Linked DNA regions of Lepisosteus oculatus. The protein of the gene in region 1 interacts with the protein of each later gene in a biochemical or structural test. Links are inferred from orthologs where the notes say so. Each region holds a gene or a part of one and is shown in the gene's direction. Other genes may lie near its edges.

Region 1 (7,227 bases):
TTTGCTTACTTTTATTTGGCTGCAGGGCAGATCTGAATTTCTCTGCAGATGAAATTTTAAATGGAATTGCTCATCGCCAGACAGGAGAATTTCTGAAATCCCCTTTTGGGTGCCTGTTTTTGCATTTGTTCAGAGCAATTCCAAGGTCTCCAGCCTTGTTTTTTTCAGTGACTTTCAAATACAGAAAAATACTGCAGAGTGAGAGTTGTTAAAACCTTTCTTAACCCTCTAAACTACATTTGCAGATTGAAAGATTAGTTTTGATTTCATACCATATGGCATCTTTGGGAACCCTGGCTGGAATTTGTCTGTAGATGAAAAGAATGTAAACATTTTGTAAGATCAACTTTCAGTTTCCAGCCTTGCCTTGGATATAGGCTTATTTGTCTTTTTTTCTGTATTCCTGCTTACCTAAAGAAGATGGAAATCTTTCTGTCACAGATGTGGATACTAGATTATAATAGACCTTTGGGCTGTTTTCAAATCACTTGGGCATTTGGATAGGTAAGCAGGTGTAAGTTTTAGAGTAAATAGACCTGTATGTTTTGCAGTGCAACTAAAGAAACTAGCTGAGTATTTACCTGGTCAAGTGCTGAATTGAGAGGGACCTTAGGTAGGTCAGATTAAATAAACCAACCATTGAATTTACTAAGACAGCACGGTTAACACTCCTACTCTTTTAAACAGTACCGTAAGATTAACAATCAAGATCCTAAGACCTCAGTTTAATATCATCCAAAGGAGAGTGTCCTCAGTCACCATCCTGGGGTATTTGTTTTTTTGGAAATTAGGAATAATCCTAAAGTATGAGTGTCACCTACTGTTCTCCTGACACCATTTAATGTTGGCAATCTGGGTTTTCCTTTTGACATCTCAAATCCCTGTACTGACGAAGTCCAGCCTTGCTAACTGTACTGTCCGGGATCTGGCGATCAGATATTACAAGCAGTTAATAAACTGTGTTCATTTCGTTTTGATGATGAACAGCAACCTCTCTGAGCTCTGGAAGTAATGCAAAACTAAAACACAGCCACCAAGAAGAAACGTCATTTTTCATTCTAAATTCACAAAAGATTCCTATTTTCAAGTACGCTGTTACTGACTGTAGGAATGACTACTGAAGCCACCAAATGTTATTTACAATCTTGGCAAGAAGAAATAAATGGTCCAAACCCAGAGCCCGTTTCACTTTTGAATGTTTAAAAAAGATAACGCAGCCAGTCCCTTTCGTAAGACGTGCTTTCCTTTGCAAATGAATTTAAACCACTTGCACAGCTCACACCTGATTCTGCTTTTCAGCCGGCGACCAGGTGAGAAGAAAGCTCTTCGATTTCACCGATGCTCTCTCCCACAACTGCCACATCAAATGTTCTTGCTGCAAACTCATTTGCGTTTGTCACTGTAGTGTGTTAAAAGTGCCTTCCGACAGGTGCTGAGGGAGGCAGCCTGAACATTCTTCTGTTTCTGCCCAAGAGCTGGATGATAATTAGCATGTGAAGATGCACCTTTTTAAGGTGGTGCAATTTATCCTGTTCATTCACCTGCCTCAGATTTGGAGCTGCCAATTCTCCAACCTCCCTGCCTGCACAGGAAAAGAAACAGCCTTGTCCTATTCACACTGTGAGCCCCAAGCACCGCTGACACAGCTAGGGCCTCAGACGGAGGGCAGCTGTAGCTCTTGATAATAATGCTGCTGGCGCATAGGGGCTTGGTGAACCCTGGGTAATTCTTGGCAAATAACAGAGCCCAGACTCACACCTGTGTTTCCCACTTTCCCAAATTGTTGGGTCCAGTTGGACAAATGTGACCTACTGTAGTGTTGTCTTAAAAGTGCTTGTTTGACATCTGTCTATGGATGTTGTGAGCCTAATTATCTGGCTTTTATGTTTGTGAAAATGATAACTCTGAGGCAGAACGTGAGTTTGTTAGCTGCTTGGTGTCAACATTTGTAAAACCTCTTTATCTACACTAGGGAACTTTTGTGAAATATGTTGATTCTGTCTCTCGGGGAAAGGTTTGCTTGTAAAGGAGCCGAAGAGGCAGCAAAGGCTTTGCAGGGAAAAACAATTGTTGTGACAGATTTCCATGGGGGTGGGGATGTTAACAAGCACATTTTTCAGCTTGGGAAATCACAGGTGAAAATGGATTCTTTCTCTGTGTGCTTTTGTGCAATCTAAAGAGTGATTGCCTTTCCTCTGGTGTGAAATTCAATTCTCCGAACCAGCTATGAGAGGATGATAATTGGTTTTAAAGACATTGAAACCAGGTACAGTACAGTGTGCTATGCATGGAAGGTCATCTCTTGCTCGGGACAGATTTGGCTTTTTCGTATCTCCACCCACCAGAGACAAGGCCACAGTCAAGCCCTTTAATTCACACAGTGAACAAAGAAAAAGAAACATTTCAGAATTCTGTGTACATATGCAATATGAGTGTGTGAATGTGAATATTTGCATGTATGTACAGTATACTGTAAACTGTGTTTTATTCTCTGGGGTAGGAACCTGTGAGGCGTACAGATTTGGAACATGAATTGGAGAGTCATCATCCTGGGTTAAGATGCTAGTTGAACTCTATTTCCCAAGAGAGCTTGCAGAGTAAGATGCCCTATAGAAAATTCTCGAGGGTTGAGGCACATGTGAAACCCATTGTGACGGCCTCAGAGTATTAGAGGATGAAGCTGTGTCTTTCATCTGTGCTGGGTGGGGAAGATCTGTTGGTAGGTAGGAGTCAGGTTTTTGAGCAAGAGTAAACCCTACGGAACTGAAACCGGCAACGAAGAGACTTCATTCTCTGGGAGAGATTTTGTTACGTCAGATGGTCTGTTTTGCTCTTTCCACCTTGCGTGAACTTTCTGCTCTAGAGGATGAGCCTGGCTGTGATTATCAACATCCTTGCCTGTGTCAGTAGGGTACATAATATATCATAGATAATAAGTAATTATTTAATTAGCCATGTCTGTTTCACAATGCCAGGAAGTAGAACTGCTTAAAGAGGCTGCTGTAAATTGGCACTTGTTGAGCATTGTGAAACAACTGGGACTAATTAATATTCATATATCCCAAATTCATAACAACTACAGCTTGCTCTTTATCAAAACAGTATTTATCAAAAACATAACCTGCAAATATGTTTTTCAAAGAACATAAGAGAAGAGAGGTTTTAGAGATTGCATTTTTAAATTCACTATCTACAGATTTTTTTAAATTAAAATTGAAAGGTTTGTATTTTGTAGACATTTAATGAGTGCTTCATTTTAGTCTCTAAATCACTCCATGGGGATGTTACAGAATACAAAAAATCTTCTTCAGTGACAGAAACATGGGTTAGGTAACAGTAAATGACATTTCAGTTTCATCTGTGCTTTGTTAAAGGACAATATCTAAAAGGGATCATAAAACATATTAATTGGCACTTTGTTTCAGATCTCAAACAAGTGCAAGCTTGTTTTATTTTGTTTTCCTTTAAAAATTGTGATGTTTATCTTTAGCTCTATCTAAGAGTATTGTAAGCTATTGATTTAGAACTTAAATAGTCACACACTGCTGTGTTCTTACTATCTCTTGATGTGTGGCCATTAAGATCTATTTGTTAAAATAATGTTGAGATTTCTGTGCCGTATTGATTTATCAATTTCCTTGTGACTGTTGTGAGAGATGCAGATCTATTTGGATTCTAGGTCACTGACTAGACCATAACTGGGTAAACTTTGAGTCTTGATGCATGTTTTTTTCCTTTTCACCAGTGCTTTTGACAGGGTAAAAGTTTGCTTTTGCAGAAGTAACTGAAAGGACTGGTTTACTTGCAGTTGGGGTGCATCTGTTTGTGTGTGTTTGTGTACGTGCTAGTGTCAGGTCACTTATGTGCATGGTTGCTGTAGAAACCAAGGACAGAGTTAATCTGTTGGCTGGATTTGCTGTGCAGATTGAGCCAGCGAGTGACTGTGTGTGTGCATGTGTGCACGCGCACGCGCGCACACTCAACAGCATATAGAGGAAGTGCACTCTGTTACCAGCTCAAGAGTTATTTTAATGCAAGCACTCACATCGTCTCTCTCTCCCACTCCCCCCTACTACGTTTTTCTCTCTGGCTTTTCCACTCCAGCAAGTCTGTTACAGTAGGCCAGCCGTCTCCTATCTCCTTCCAAGAGATTGATCTATACTTTTTAATTCTTTAAATCACTTGGAGTTTACAGGACAAAAGAAAGGTTGGATGATAAACACTCTCTCTCCTCAGAGACCAGGTTGTATGAATATTTTTTACTATTGAGTCTTGTAAAATCGTTGTTTTAAATTGGTCTGGGAATGCATTACTGTCTTAGTTTTTGAAGCCGCAGAACTTATTTCTTTAGAGGTCTCTAATATTTACACTGATACTGTACGTGGCTGTACACTGAATATAGTGACTACCACAAAGATTTAAAATTCTGCAGTGGGACTGATTTAATTTAAATTGTTTTTTTTTTTTTAGAAATGCTTTTGCATCAAGGTACAAAAATATAAAACCAGGTTTGTTTTTATAGTGCAAGCAATAGTGTACTTCTGTGTTTCTGGGATGGTTTTTAGCAGTTCCTCTGTTAATGAAGATGAGTGTCATTGTGCTTAAAGATCCATTTTAAAGCAAATGGCGAAACGCTTGACATGTAGTGCGTTTAGAGCTACTCCTTTGGGGAATTTGGAATTTTACGGTTTGACTTTGTGAAGTATGAAACTGTCATGTTCCACATAGGGTGATGCATTTTTGTTTCCACTTTGATTCTTAAAAAGCCAGGTCCACTTTATCGAATAAGTTTTATTCAAAACAAAGGCCAGTTTTTCTAAGACATCAATCAATGATGTACAGATCTCAGGAATCAGTGTATATTATCTCAAGCGATGTCTATTTGTATCCTTTTGTGTAGCTTTATTGGGACAACTGAGCTGAAGAACCTTGTTCAGGAGAACGACAGGAGTGTCGCTCCTGAGATTCAAACCCACAACCTTACAGTCTCACAACCACTGCTCCCAAAATCAATTTATTATCAAGCTGCAGAGTTCAAGTAATTTCTAACTAATTAATGTAAACTACTAGGTACTGTGTTCAAGTTGTTGAAGATGAAAATCGATACAATTTCAAAACCCCAAAGAAAGCAAATAGTTTGAAATGTTTTTGTGCAATTGTTGTGTGAAGTAATTGTACAAATTTGAAAAGAAAAACCTAAAAACACTGATTCTTTAGTGCTGCTTTAATTCCTTGCAGATGATAATGTTGTGTTTACAGTGTAGAGGATTAGAGATGGGGAGAAAATACTGCAGAGGCCTTTTGTGTGTTTTTTCTTTTCAAACTGGTCCCAATGAAGCTCTAGCAAGAGGGAGAGAAATGCATTCTTCTATTTTTTAGGGCAGGGCAGTGGTTTAGCCTATCAATTTAATAATTTCAAAAAAAGTTCTTTTTTCAGTGCCTGAAAAAATACTTACTGAAATGCTGGTCAGAGAACTGACCTGTGTTTTTTATCCTTGTGTGAGATGGTCACAGTGCATTCTCAAGTAATTAACAGACATCAATTGCTAGGTGTAAAATGTATTCCTTTGTGGTTTATTTTCTTAAGACATAATCATTGTGTCGTAATATGCTTCTTGGTAATTAAAGAAAACTACTTCTGGAAACAGTAGTTTGAGTAGGTTCTGGAAATACTAGTTCTAGAAACACTTTTTACAAAAGAAATAATACTTCCATATGCATTTCATGCATTTTCATGCATTTCATTATGTGTAACTGGCAAATACATTTACTGGTACAGTAGTACAGTATGTATAAAAATAAAGGCTTGAGTAGTTTTTCTGTTGGAGTGTATACCTAAAGTCTCATTTTATGTATAATATAGCTGTAATAAGTTTGTGGTGTCTCACATCTTTTTGGAAAGGAAACCAGGGCAATAGTGAGTTATTCCAGAATATTTTAATGTTGAATTAATAATTTGCACAGGATTACTATACCATGAAATCCCCCAAATATTCAATACTGAGTTGGATAGATATTTATTTTTTACATTTATTGAATAAATGAATAAATGAGAATCATCTGCATATACAGTAAGCTTTGAACCTAAAGTAAGTTTCCTTCACAATGCTAGAGTACAATGCTAAAAGGTTTTCTTTCAAAAATAAAGATTAGAGGTGTGATCAGATAATGCTATGGTTCATCTGGTAAGAAGCGATCTGTTGCTCAGTTATTACGATCGGTTTTCCAAGACCATTTTTAGTACAAAATGCACCCTTCACTGACAGACGTTATGATAATAAAATAACCACAAGTAGTTTGAATAATATAATGTTTAAAATGAAAATGTTTACACGTTTCCCAAGAGTTGTTGTCTGTGATGGCTGACTGGGTTGCAGACTCTTGGTTGTGCTCATTCTGCATTAAATCATGAACTGTGGGCCCTGAAATGTATTGGAAAGTTTTATTTGGTAGGAGAGTTATGCTCTTGGTTTTCCTAGATAATTCTAAGATCAAAGCTTTGTGCTCAGCTTTGTTCCTTTGTATTGTGACCAGCTTTAAGGTTAATCAGGTTTTTTAGTTCCCATTAGTACGGGGAGTGTCTTACTACCACCTCCTCAGAAAACCTTAAGAGAAGTGGAAAGCATTGTAAGATGTGCACAGAATAAAATATAATAGTGGTAAGGGAAACTTTTTGGTTTGTGGCGTTGAACAGATCTTGTCGGGGAAAAATCAAAGGACGAAATTTGGCAGACACATTTAAAAGAAAAAGGAATGCTTATCTACAGTATGTTCTCCAGATATTTTCCAAGTATTACAAAATATTAACAAACCTTTTGTGGTCTTGTATAGCCCATGATTGGTTCCATTTTGGCAAACGGAGAAGGTTTGTCTAAGAGCAAGAGATCGTTGCAGTTTCCGTTTTTCTGTTCCAGTTCCACCCCACACCAAGTTTATAGAGCTTTGCTAATGATTAAACCCGAGATCTTCCTGCTGACAACTTTTTGTGCACCCGGACTGAATTTATTTCCGAAAAAGAAATTGTTTGCGCACTGCAGAAGGAGGAGAGTTACTCTTTCAAAATGCATCCGTCTCCGTTGCTGTTCACTCATTCTGCCTTGGAAGACGGAGGTTTGTGTTCTTCAGGAGAATTTCCCTGTGTTCATAACCCAGATCTTCATACAGTAGTTCTCAAGGTAGGTTTTAGTTGAATGCCCTTTCTGCGGACATGCAAAGCCCACAGCATCC
Region 2 (8,288 bases), on another chromosome or scaffold:
AGTCAACCCAGAAGACTTAGGACATTGAACTGTCCGAACAAACACTGAAACAAGAACCAGAGGACACAACTGGAAACGACATGGAAGTGCATTTAAGACTGAGAACAGGAGGCACTGCTTTATCCAGAGGGTTGTGGGGGTATGGAACAAGCTGCCCTGCCATGTTGTTGAAGCCAACACCCTAGCCTCTTTCAGGAAACAACTGGATGAGCTCCTAAGATCAATTAACTATTAAAACCAAATGGGCTAGATGGCTGAATGTCTTCCTATTGTTTGTTATTATTCTTATGTTTCCCACAAAGCAACTTGGGACCAATGTAGTGGGTAGTGGTAATGTAGACCAATATGTAGTATTGCATTGCATTTTGTATAATATATGCATAATGTAAGTACATTACGCCAAATCATTCATGTAAATTATCCTTAAACATGAAACATTCCTGGTGTGGTCATCTCCTCTAACCCGCCCACCCACTGGCCTCCTGAACCTCTGATTGGAGGAGCAGGATGTCCCTCGCTGACATCACTCTCCAAGGCTGCAGGTGACGGGGAAGTCACAGGGGCCAGTCTTTCGCCAGAAGAGTCTACTGTGCAGTGCTCCATGGGAAATCCTTTCTCCGCTGACCAGTCACATGACCCAGACTTGAACTTGTGATGGACGGGATGTATCTTTAACCTGTACTGGGAGCACAATCTAACTGATCGAGAGCCCTCGGGAGCCCCTGCGCAATGAACGCTTGTATCTGAATTTTATAATCTGCGTGCTTGATTCCCCATCACACGCGTTGCTGTGCAGTTGAAAGTGGGAGACTATAACCTAACCTGTGCGGAGGTGCTTCCCACTGTTTTAACTAGTGCCTCTGCGAGGCTGCAGTGAGTGGTGGTGTCAGTGTGGTCTTCTTTGTTGTGCAGATGAAGATCCCCTCCAAGAAGCTGGCCCACATTCCGGTCTACACCGTGGGCTTTGAGAGTGGCACAGTCAGCCACCCCAGGAAGGGAGAGGTCTTTCAGTAAGTTACCTGGCGAGCCCTGGCTCCTGTCCCTCTTGCCACTACGTCTAGGACAACTGCAATAGGGAATGAACATTCATATTATTAGAATATCAAAATATTAATATGATCCGAAAAACCAACTTTCCGCTTCCCGGCTTTGGGAAACACCAAGAGATTATTAATATTCCTACCTAGAATTCATGGCAAATCGTACGCCTGCAGTCGCCATGATCCTGAAAGGTATCTCCAGACAGGTTGTCTTTCTCTCATGAGGACGCTCGACAGCGACGCTCCTCACAGCGCTCCTTCCCTGCTCTTTCTTTAGGTCCCTGCGGAGCCTGACGAGCCGCTCGGTGGAAGAGGAGTTCCCCCACCTCTACGCCAACGGCTGCAGCCTGAAGGACATCTGCTCTGAGTGCGCCAAGTTCGTGGGCGACGTCATCACCTCCAGCCGGAAGAGCTTGGACATCCTGAACAACACTCCCAAGAGAGCCCAGGCCGTCAGGGTGGGCCCTGGGAGAGGTGCCAAGTTCCAATAAAGTGCTTGCCTTTCACGCCATACGCCCTCCCTGAAAGAAAAACATAGCGCCATTTGTGTGTTGAAATAAACCTCGATGTTCCTCTTCTGGCATGGTACGAGTTACCGCCGCGCGTGAATGTCTTCTGGTTCCCACGACAAACGCCTCACGTTTGCGGCTGTTCTCTGCCTGAAGTTGTGATTCATTTGCTCCAGTCGCCTATTATAACCTCTTTTTCAAAACGTCATCGGAATACGTTTTAGAGAGACTTGACCCAGCACGCGCAAAATAAGCCCCCCCAAGGGGAATTAGCACTTGACCCGTTGGGATGTGTTGGAGTCTGCCTTCCCCAAGACGTACTGTAAGTGCTGCTTTTGCGATGTGAGCACTGGTTAAGAGGAAGGGTGAAGGTTTGTCACCCTAAAAGCGGGGCCAAAGAGAGAAGAAATGAGGAGCAAGGGAATGTGACCCTAAAATCCGTGGAGGTCATTGCCTCACAGTTGTTCTTCTTTATTTTGGACATCGAAAACTCCACGTGGAAAAACACAGCTTGCCACATCGTCGGTATCCAAATGAGAGTCTGCGAGCAGACCTGCTCTGTGTCTTGCGCCACCTGTTTCAACAAGAGCATCAAACACAGAGGTGGTTGACATTAATAGAAGCCACAAGGGGTGTCGGGGCTGTCTCTGTCGTCCCGCTGCAGAGAGCTGAGAGTTCACGCCGCCCGGCTGTGCAGGACCTGTGCAAAAGTGAAACTTTAGAAACTTTAGAGAACTTTAGAAATCATCTCGGGAAAGCTCTTCTGCTTCGTATGAGTATTGTCATCCAGGTGCTTCTGAAATCCCATGGTGAAAACATCTGTATCATAATTCAGTCTCTGTTGGGGGAAAATTTATTTTTTCTTTTTTTTTAATTTGTGGTTCAGAACGCAATGTCCAGTGTACAAAACAAAATCAATTTCATTCAGACCTCAGAATTTGAATGTCAGAATCATATTTTTATTGACTGGTGTACTCTATCACAATCCTTTTTTTGCTTTTTAAAATTTTGCTTTTCCAACTTATTTGGAGATTTTTCTTCTTTCTATCCTGAGTGGATGTGACCTGAACCGGTTACGTTTTATCTAGGTATTTTCCTCTGCAAGGAAGGATATTGAGCAAAATGATAGCTGCACTAATTTAGAAAGCTTCCACGTTGGCAGTATTTTGCTTTCACCGGCCAGTTTAAAGACATGATGGTGCAAAGCCTTTTTTCATGTCAGAACCCTGTAAACACTTAATAAAATTAAGCTGCAATAAATCTACATGGCCTGGCATCTGCGTTGTGACCATTTACAATCCATGTTACTTTTGATCAAACAATATACCATCATGGAGACCTGTAGTCAAGTCAGAATTGCTCAGCTTAACTCAGATGTTTCCCAAGAGTCTTGAGTCAGGTCCAGAGCTTCAGGATCCTTTAGCTGATATCACGAGTGAGTCTTGTTGACATGAGACACACGCGGGTCTGAATCCCAGCTATACCGAGTCAATGCAATTGTAAAAATATAAAATCTGTCCGAAAGAGACCCTTGATTCAAGCAAGTACAAGAATTTAATGCATTTCCTACATTTTTGCATGTACTGGAAATAAAACTAAAGAGAATAATTTTGAAACAGGAGAGTAAGAATTACCCTAAAAGCAGTATAGTATTTAATCATTGTCAGCAGGTATTTGCATTTGTATGAGGTCCCATAAAGTTATTCTGCTACAAATAAAGTTGCAACTCGTTTAATAAAAAACATTATAAAAAATCCATTTGCAAAATCCGTGTTCTCCCTTGAACATTCAATTTAGTCCTCGGCTGAGCATTCCCGAAGCTATGCTAGTAGGTGCATGATTAAAATATATTTTTCCACATAAATCAAGGTGCTAATCTAACACAATGTTCACGATCACCAATTGCATGGTAGAAGCACAAACTGCCTTCAAGATCTTCACTACAGCAGTTATATTTTTTGTTTGTTCTGTCAAACGTTCATACTTCTTCCAAGGTCACTGAATGTTTCTGGGTGTGGCACCTTAGTGTATATCACTTCATTGAATACAGTACATAAAACCTGGAAAAGAGCTTTGTTCAACTGAGCAAAAGCTTGCATCAGACAAGACATTGACAAGACATTCACACAGCATGCTGTGCAACTCTTCAGTGAGCTCTGCTGTAGGCTTATCCACACAGTTATCAATCTAATGAATAATAATGACAGTAAGAGCAACCACCATCATCATTTTACTTCTTTATACACAATGGTGTTAACAAAACACAATGAGATAGCTATTAAATAGAGAGCTAGAAACTATTTTCTAAAAAAATATCCTTTTTACTTTAAATAACTCTCAAACTCTTGGATGAATGGCTGCAAAAGTGTTTTAAATTCCGTTTCAGTTCCCACAGCATGAAGGAACACGCTGGGCTTTTTGAAGACTGGAGTGTTCCTGAGGGTCAGGGTAATTTGTCAAGTCTACCATAATTCTGCCAAGCACGATCAGATGTTGTGCATTTTTATGCCACTAGGTGGCAATAGCGACCCACAAACTTGAACAACATTTGCTGCGCTCTGTTTTTAAATGCGCTTCAAGAGTCAACGACAGATCTTCTGGATCAATATTAAGTGACTGTGGGACTTCGCCGAGACTACACAGTCAAGACTTGACAATGCAGTGTACTGTATATGTCACTTGAAGTAAAGTCTGCACTTACTGTACAATTTCAAGGCAAGAGACTCGATCAAGCCTGGTCGCAGGTCCAGATTGCTGACCACTCATCTAAAACTATCACCAAAGTTATACTGTAGTAACTGTGATCACGTGAGAGAGATTTGCTATTGTTATTTTTTACTTTATGGAAATACTATTTCAAAAATGATGCAAGCGAGAGAAGGCCCGTCTTGAGTAAAGAATTATTTCCTATTCTCCGTACCAAATAAATTCCCCTCCCTGGTTGTGGCACTGGTTGTGTGTCGTGGTTGTGCTACCCAGTGTGAAACCACCTTCAGCCTTACACCTTCAAATCTCTATCCTTTCAACTCAGTTTTGATCGAGATGGAAATGACTTAGCGCCCTTAAACTGTCCCTATCTGATAAACACCTGAGGCAAGGGGTGCTCTCTTCTTGAACTCTTTCCACAGCTTTTTTGTTGTTGTTGTTGTTGTTGTTGTTGTTGTTGTTGTTTTTGTGGTGCCGTGTGATGGCCAAAACTAACAACGCCATCCCAAGTAAAAGTCAGTCATTGAGAAAACACTTGGAAGCCCTCGAGTGCTAGAGGTCTCCTTAATGGAGCGCATTACTTGCTTCATTGATCGACAGCACGCCAGTTGTGTGTGTAATTGCGACACATCGCGTTAGCCGCCGGTCCCCGGCCGCGTCTGGATGGTTTTCGGCTGGCTGGTCGGGGTCAGGGCCCGGAGCCCCCCCGCCCACATGCGGCGACCCGCAGCCGGACACGTGTAGTTCAGGAGCAGGTATTTTTTGACAGGAGAGGCCCTTCCTCCTTATGAATAATAAACAGCCCCGTTTCCACGATTGGCCGCCGTCTCACCCTGCCCCGTTGTAAAGTTTTTATCCCCACCACCCTTCTCCTCTCCTCGGCTTTCCTTCATGAATAAATAAAAAAGTCGGTCTAACCTCTTATTTTCTTTCGCGAGTCAACTCGACTTCCAGCGCACTTTTCTGCTCAATGGGTTTGTGGGTGTGACGGGTTTTGCTTGTAACTTGGCGCTGATAAAGAAGGGAAAGAAAAAGTTGAACAACTATGACGGGCGTAGTTTAAAAAACGACCACGATGGCCGTCTGGACGAGAGCTGATAAGAACGGACTTCTGGACCTTCTGCTCCGGGACCGCTGGATTAGGGTCCTGGCAGAACTCACCCGTGAGACCCTAACTTTGACAGCGGATGCCGAGCCCATCGGACCGGGCGGCAGTGCGGATTACAGCCCCTCGCCGGGCCTGTGGAACGGGCTGTCGAACGGGACCGAGTCGGGCGGTCCGACCCGGACGCAGAGCCAGCACCCGAACCACGGCGCGCTGAGACGCACCGGGAGCCCGGCGGGCGGCGGGGTCAGTCGGGCTCAGACCGACACGGGCTACGCTTTCGGCAGCCCGGGCTCGGGCAGGATCGCTCAAGATAACGGCACCAGCTCCGACCTGGGCAGCCCCGGCTCCAGTTACGGCAGCCCCGGCTCAAGCTTCAGCAGCACCGGACCCCTGAGGCTGGGCGATACCCACCCCGGCCTGGAAAGTGCCGGCTCCGAGGCGGTGCGGAGAGTGCGAGTGGTGAAACAGGAGTCCGGCGGGCTCGGCATCAGCATCAAGGGGGGACGGGAGAACCGCATGCCCATTCTCATCTCCAAGATCTTCCCCGGGCTCGCCGCAGACCAGAGCCGGGCGCTGCGGGTCGGCGATGCCATCCTGTCGGTCAACGGCAACGACCTGCGGGAAGCCACGCACGATCAGGCCGTGCAGGCGCTGAAAAAGGCCGGCAAGGAGGTGACTCTGGAAGGTACGTGATCGCAGACGATCTCGGGGATTCACCTCTTTAGGCCACGGCGGTGGGTGGGAAAAGGTTTGTGCGCGGACTTCACCGGCTGGGACCGAAGTCGTGCGCGTAAAACTGGAAAGCGCGGAGGTTATTATTATGATTATTTTATTTTGTGTGTGTGTGCGCGCACAGAGATGAAGTAGCGAGACGAGCTTCTTTGAAGTGTTTTTGACTGCGGCATGCCTCAATCCGTCAACGAAACTCGGGGCTCACGGAATGAGGGAATCAATTACATTTAAGGGGGAATCGTAAATGCTTAAGATGCGAGTCAATTGGACAGATTTTTCGTGATGCAGGGTTCAGAAAATGTTGCTCCCTTGTTTTACACTGAATGCAGAAGTGCTTGTGGGATACCTTCATGCTCGAACTTGGGTCTACTGGGTACTTGAGCATTTCAGTGTATACTCGCCTTCTTTTAAAGATTTATATAAGCAAGACAGACGGCGCTACTCTGTTTATATTGCTGGTCGTTTCAAGATCCCGTCTAAGACCCTATTCCAGTCTTCAAATCCAAGCGCCTTTCTTCCTAAATCCCGTCGTTATCTGGAGGTGAGTGATCTGATGTACATGTTGAAACACCTCGCCGGCATGACACGCTCGTTACAGCGCCGCGAGGTTTGCAAAGGTGAGGCAGGTTGTTCTGGTGACTTCGACGTGTGTGGTTAATAACTGGAGCCACCGCCCTACTATTAATGAGCTTTTGATCGATCAATTAGTCCCCCTCCTCAGACCAGCTGGTACCGAACTGCAGCGGTGTCTCTCTGTCGAGCTCCGACAGGAAGTACGTCGCCGTCAAACCCAGTGTTTTGGAGAACATTTCACAGCAGTCATCTGTTCTCGTGGTTAAACATTTCACGCATTTTTTTCCAGTGTACTTCCTACACGGTGTTCTGGTATAAGTGTGTGTGTGTGGGGGGATTTTATAGAAATATTTTGCGCTGATCTACTTTGTCCTTCTTTGCGTAGCAGATAACAGTATGTACTGCCTTTCATCATGTGCTGGGCTCATAGTATAGCCTAGTTATCTGGAAAAATGGGACAGGAAACTCGTTCTGAGCCTTGTCCTTCGTTTTGAAGTTGCAGGAGACAGTTTCTCGTGCCATTCCTCCCACATTCACTGGAGTGTGTGACGTGAGGCGGGAGGCACAGGCTCCTACAGTGCTCCTCTTCACCGCTGTTCCTGCTGAGCCTGTATCTACAATGTAAGACTTGGGTCTTGTCTGGGAAAGCAGACACCCTGCTGGAGGCATAGCAGTTAAAGCAGCCAGCATGTCCTTGGAGAGTGGGAGGAAGCTGAAACCCCCCTTATTTGTGTGGCCTGACATGCAAACACCACACAAACGGTACCTCGGTTCAGAATCGAAGCCAGGATCCAAGAGCTGTGATGCGGCAGCCAGCGCTAACCTCCATGCCCTCATGTCGTCCCAACTGCAGGTCTGTGCGTCTGAAACAAAAACAGCCGGTGTGCTGTCCTTGCAGTTGTGCAGTACTTTCTGTCCACCCGTTTTCCAACCTCTTCTATCGGCGCGGTGCTGCTGGAGAGCCAGAGCCTTTCTCGGCGAGCACTGGGCGTAAGGCAGGGTACACCCTGGATGGGACACCAGTCCATCGCAGGGCACACACAGGCCCGAGCATGCTCACACTCACACTGTGTCACCGGGGCCAAAGTAGCAGAAGCCAGTTAACCTATTAAGATATTTTTGGACTGGGGGAGGAAACCGGAGCATCCGGAGGAAACCCCAATAAACTCGGGGAGAACATGCAAACTCCGGGCAGATAGCACCCCAGCAACTGAACCCAGGGCCCCAGCGCTGCGAGAGGGAAATTCTCCCGCCGACACCGTTCTTTCCATTAGACCCGTGTACCTTTCGTATTCAAGGAAAGCAATAAAGAATGCTTTTCCAAAATCGAGTGGCTCCTGTGTCTTATCCTAGAGTGCTGCTGTCCCCTGGTTTCAAATCCTCTTTAAATCATCGTGTAACTATTTAGGTCAAACTTTAGGTAGAAATGGAAGAAACTGACTTATGTTCTTTTATAATGGGAGAAGTCATGGAATGCGGTCAGATTATATTCATCCGCAGTGTCCTCCCTAGCTCCTGGAATGGTTGCAGAGGACAAAATTTGGACCCTCTTGTCCGAATCCCGTCCTTTTTCACTGGGATGGACCCGGGCTCGGAGCCTGGCTTGTGCCTGAAGCTGTT

Evidence for each region.
Region 2: the proteins of dgkza (region 1) and sntb2 form a complex in vitro, tested with the Homo sapiens proteins (2 studies listed by BioGRID and IntAct, with this or other methods). The link is inferred for Lepisosteus oculatus from reciprocal best matches to the Homo sapiens genes DGKZ and SNTB2.

Annotation. Positions count from the first base shown.
Region 1 is NC_090716.1:4,643,645-4,650,871, forward strand, and holds the start of dgkza (diacylglycerol kinase zeta), read left to right. Parts: upstream 1-4,020; 5' UTR 4,021-4,243; intron 4,244-7,227. UniProt on the Homo sapiens protein: Diacylglycerol kinase that converts diacylglycerol/DAG into phosphatidic acid/phosphatidate/PA and regulates the respective levels of these two bioactive lipids.
Region 2 is NC_090715.1:12,723,111-12,731,398, forward strand, and holds the start of sntb2 (beta-2-syntrophin), read left to right. Parts: upstream 1-5,109; 5' UTR 5,110-5,330; coding exon 5,331-6,048; intron 6,049-8,288. Other genes in the region: spire2 (protein spire homolog 2), read left to right, coding at 913-1,010, 1,318-1,531. UniProt on the Homo sapiens protein: Adapter protein that binds to and probably organizes the subcellular localization of a variety of membrane proteins. May link various receptors to the actin cytoskeleton and the dystrophin glycoprotein complex.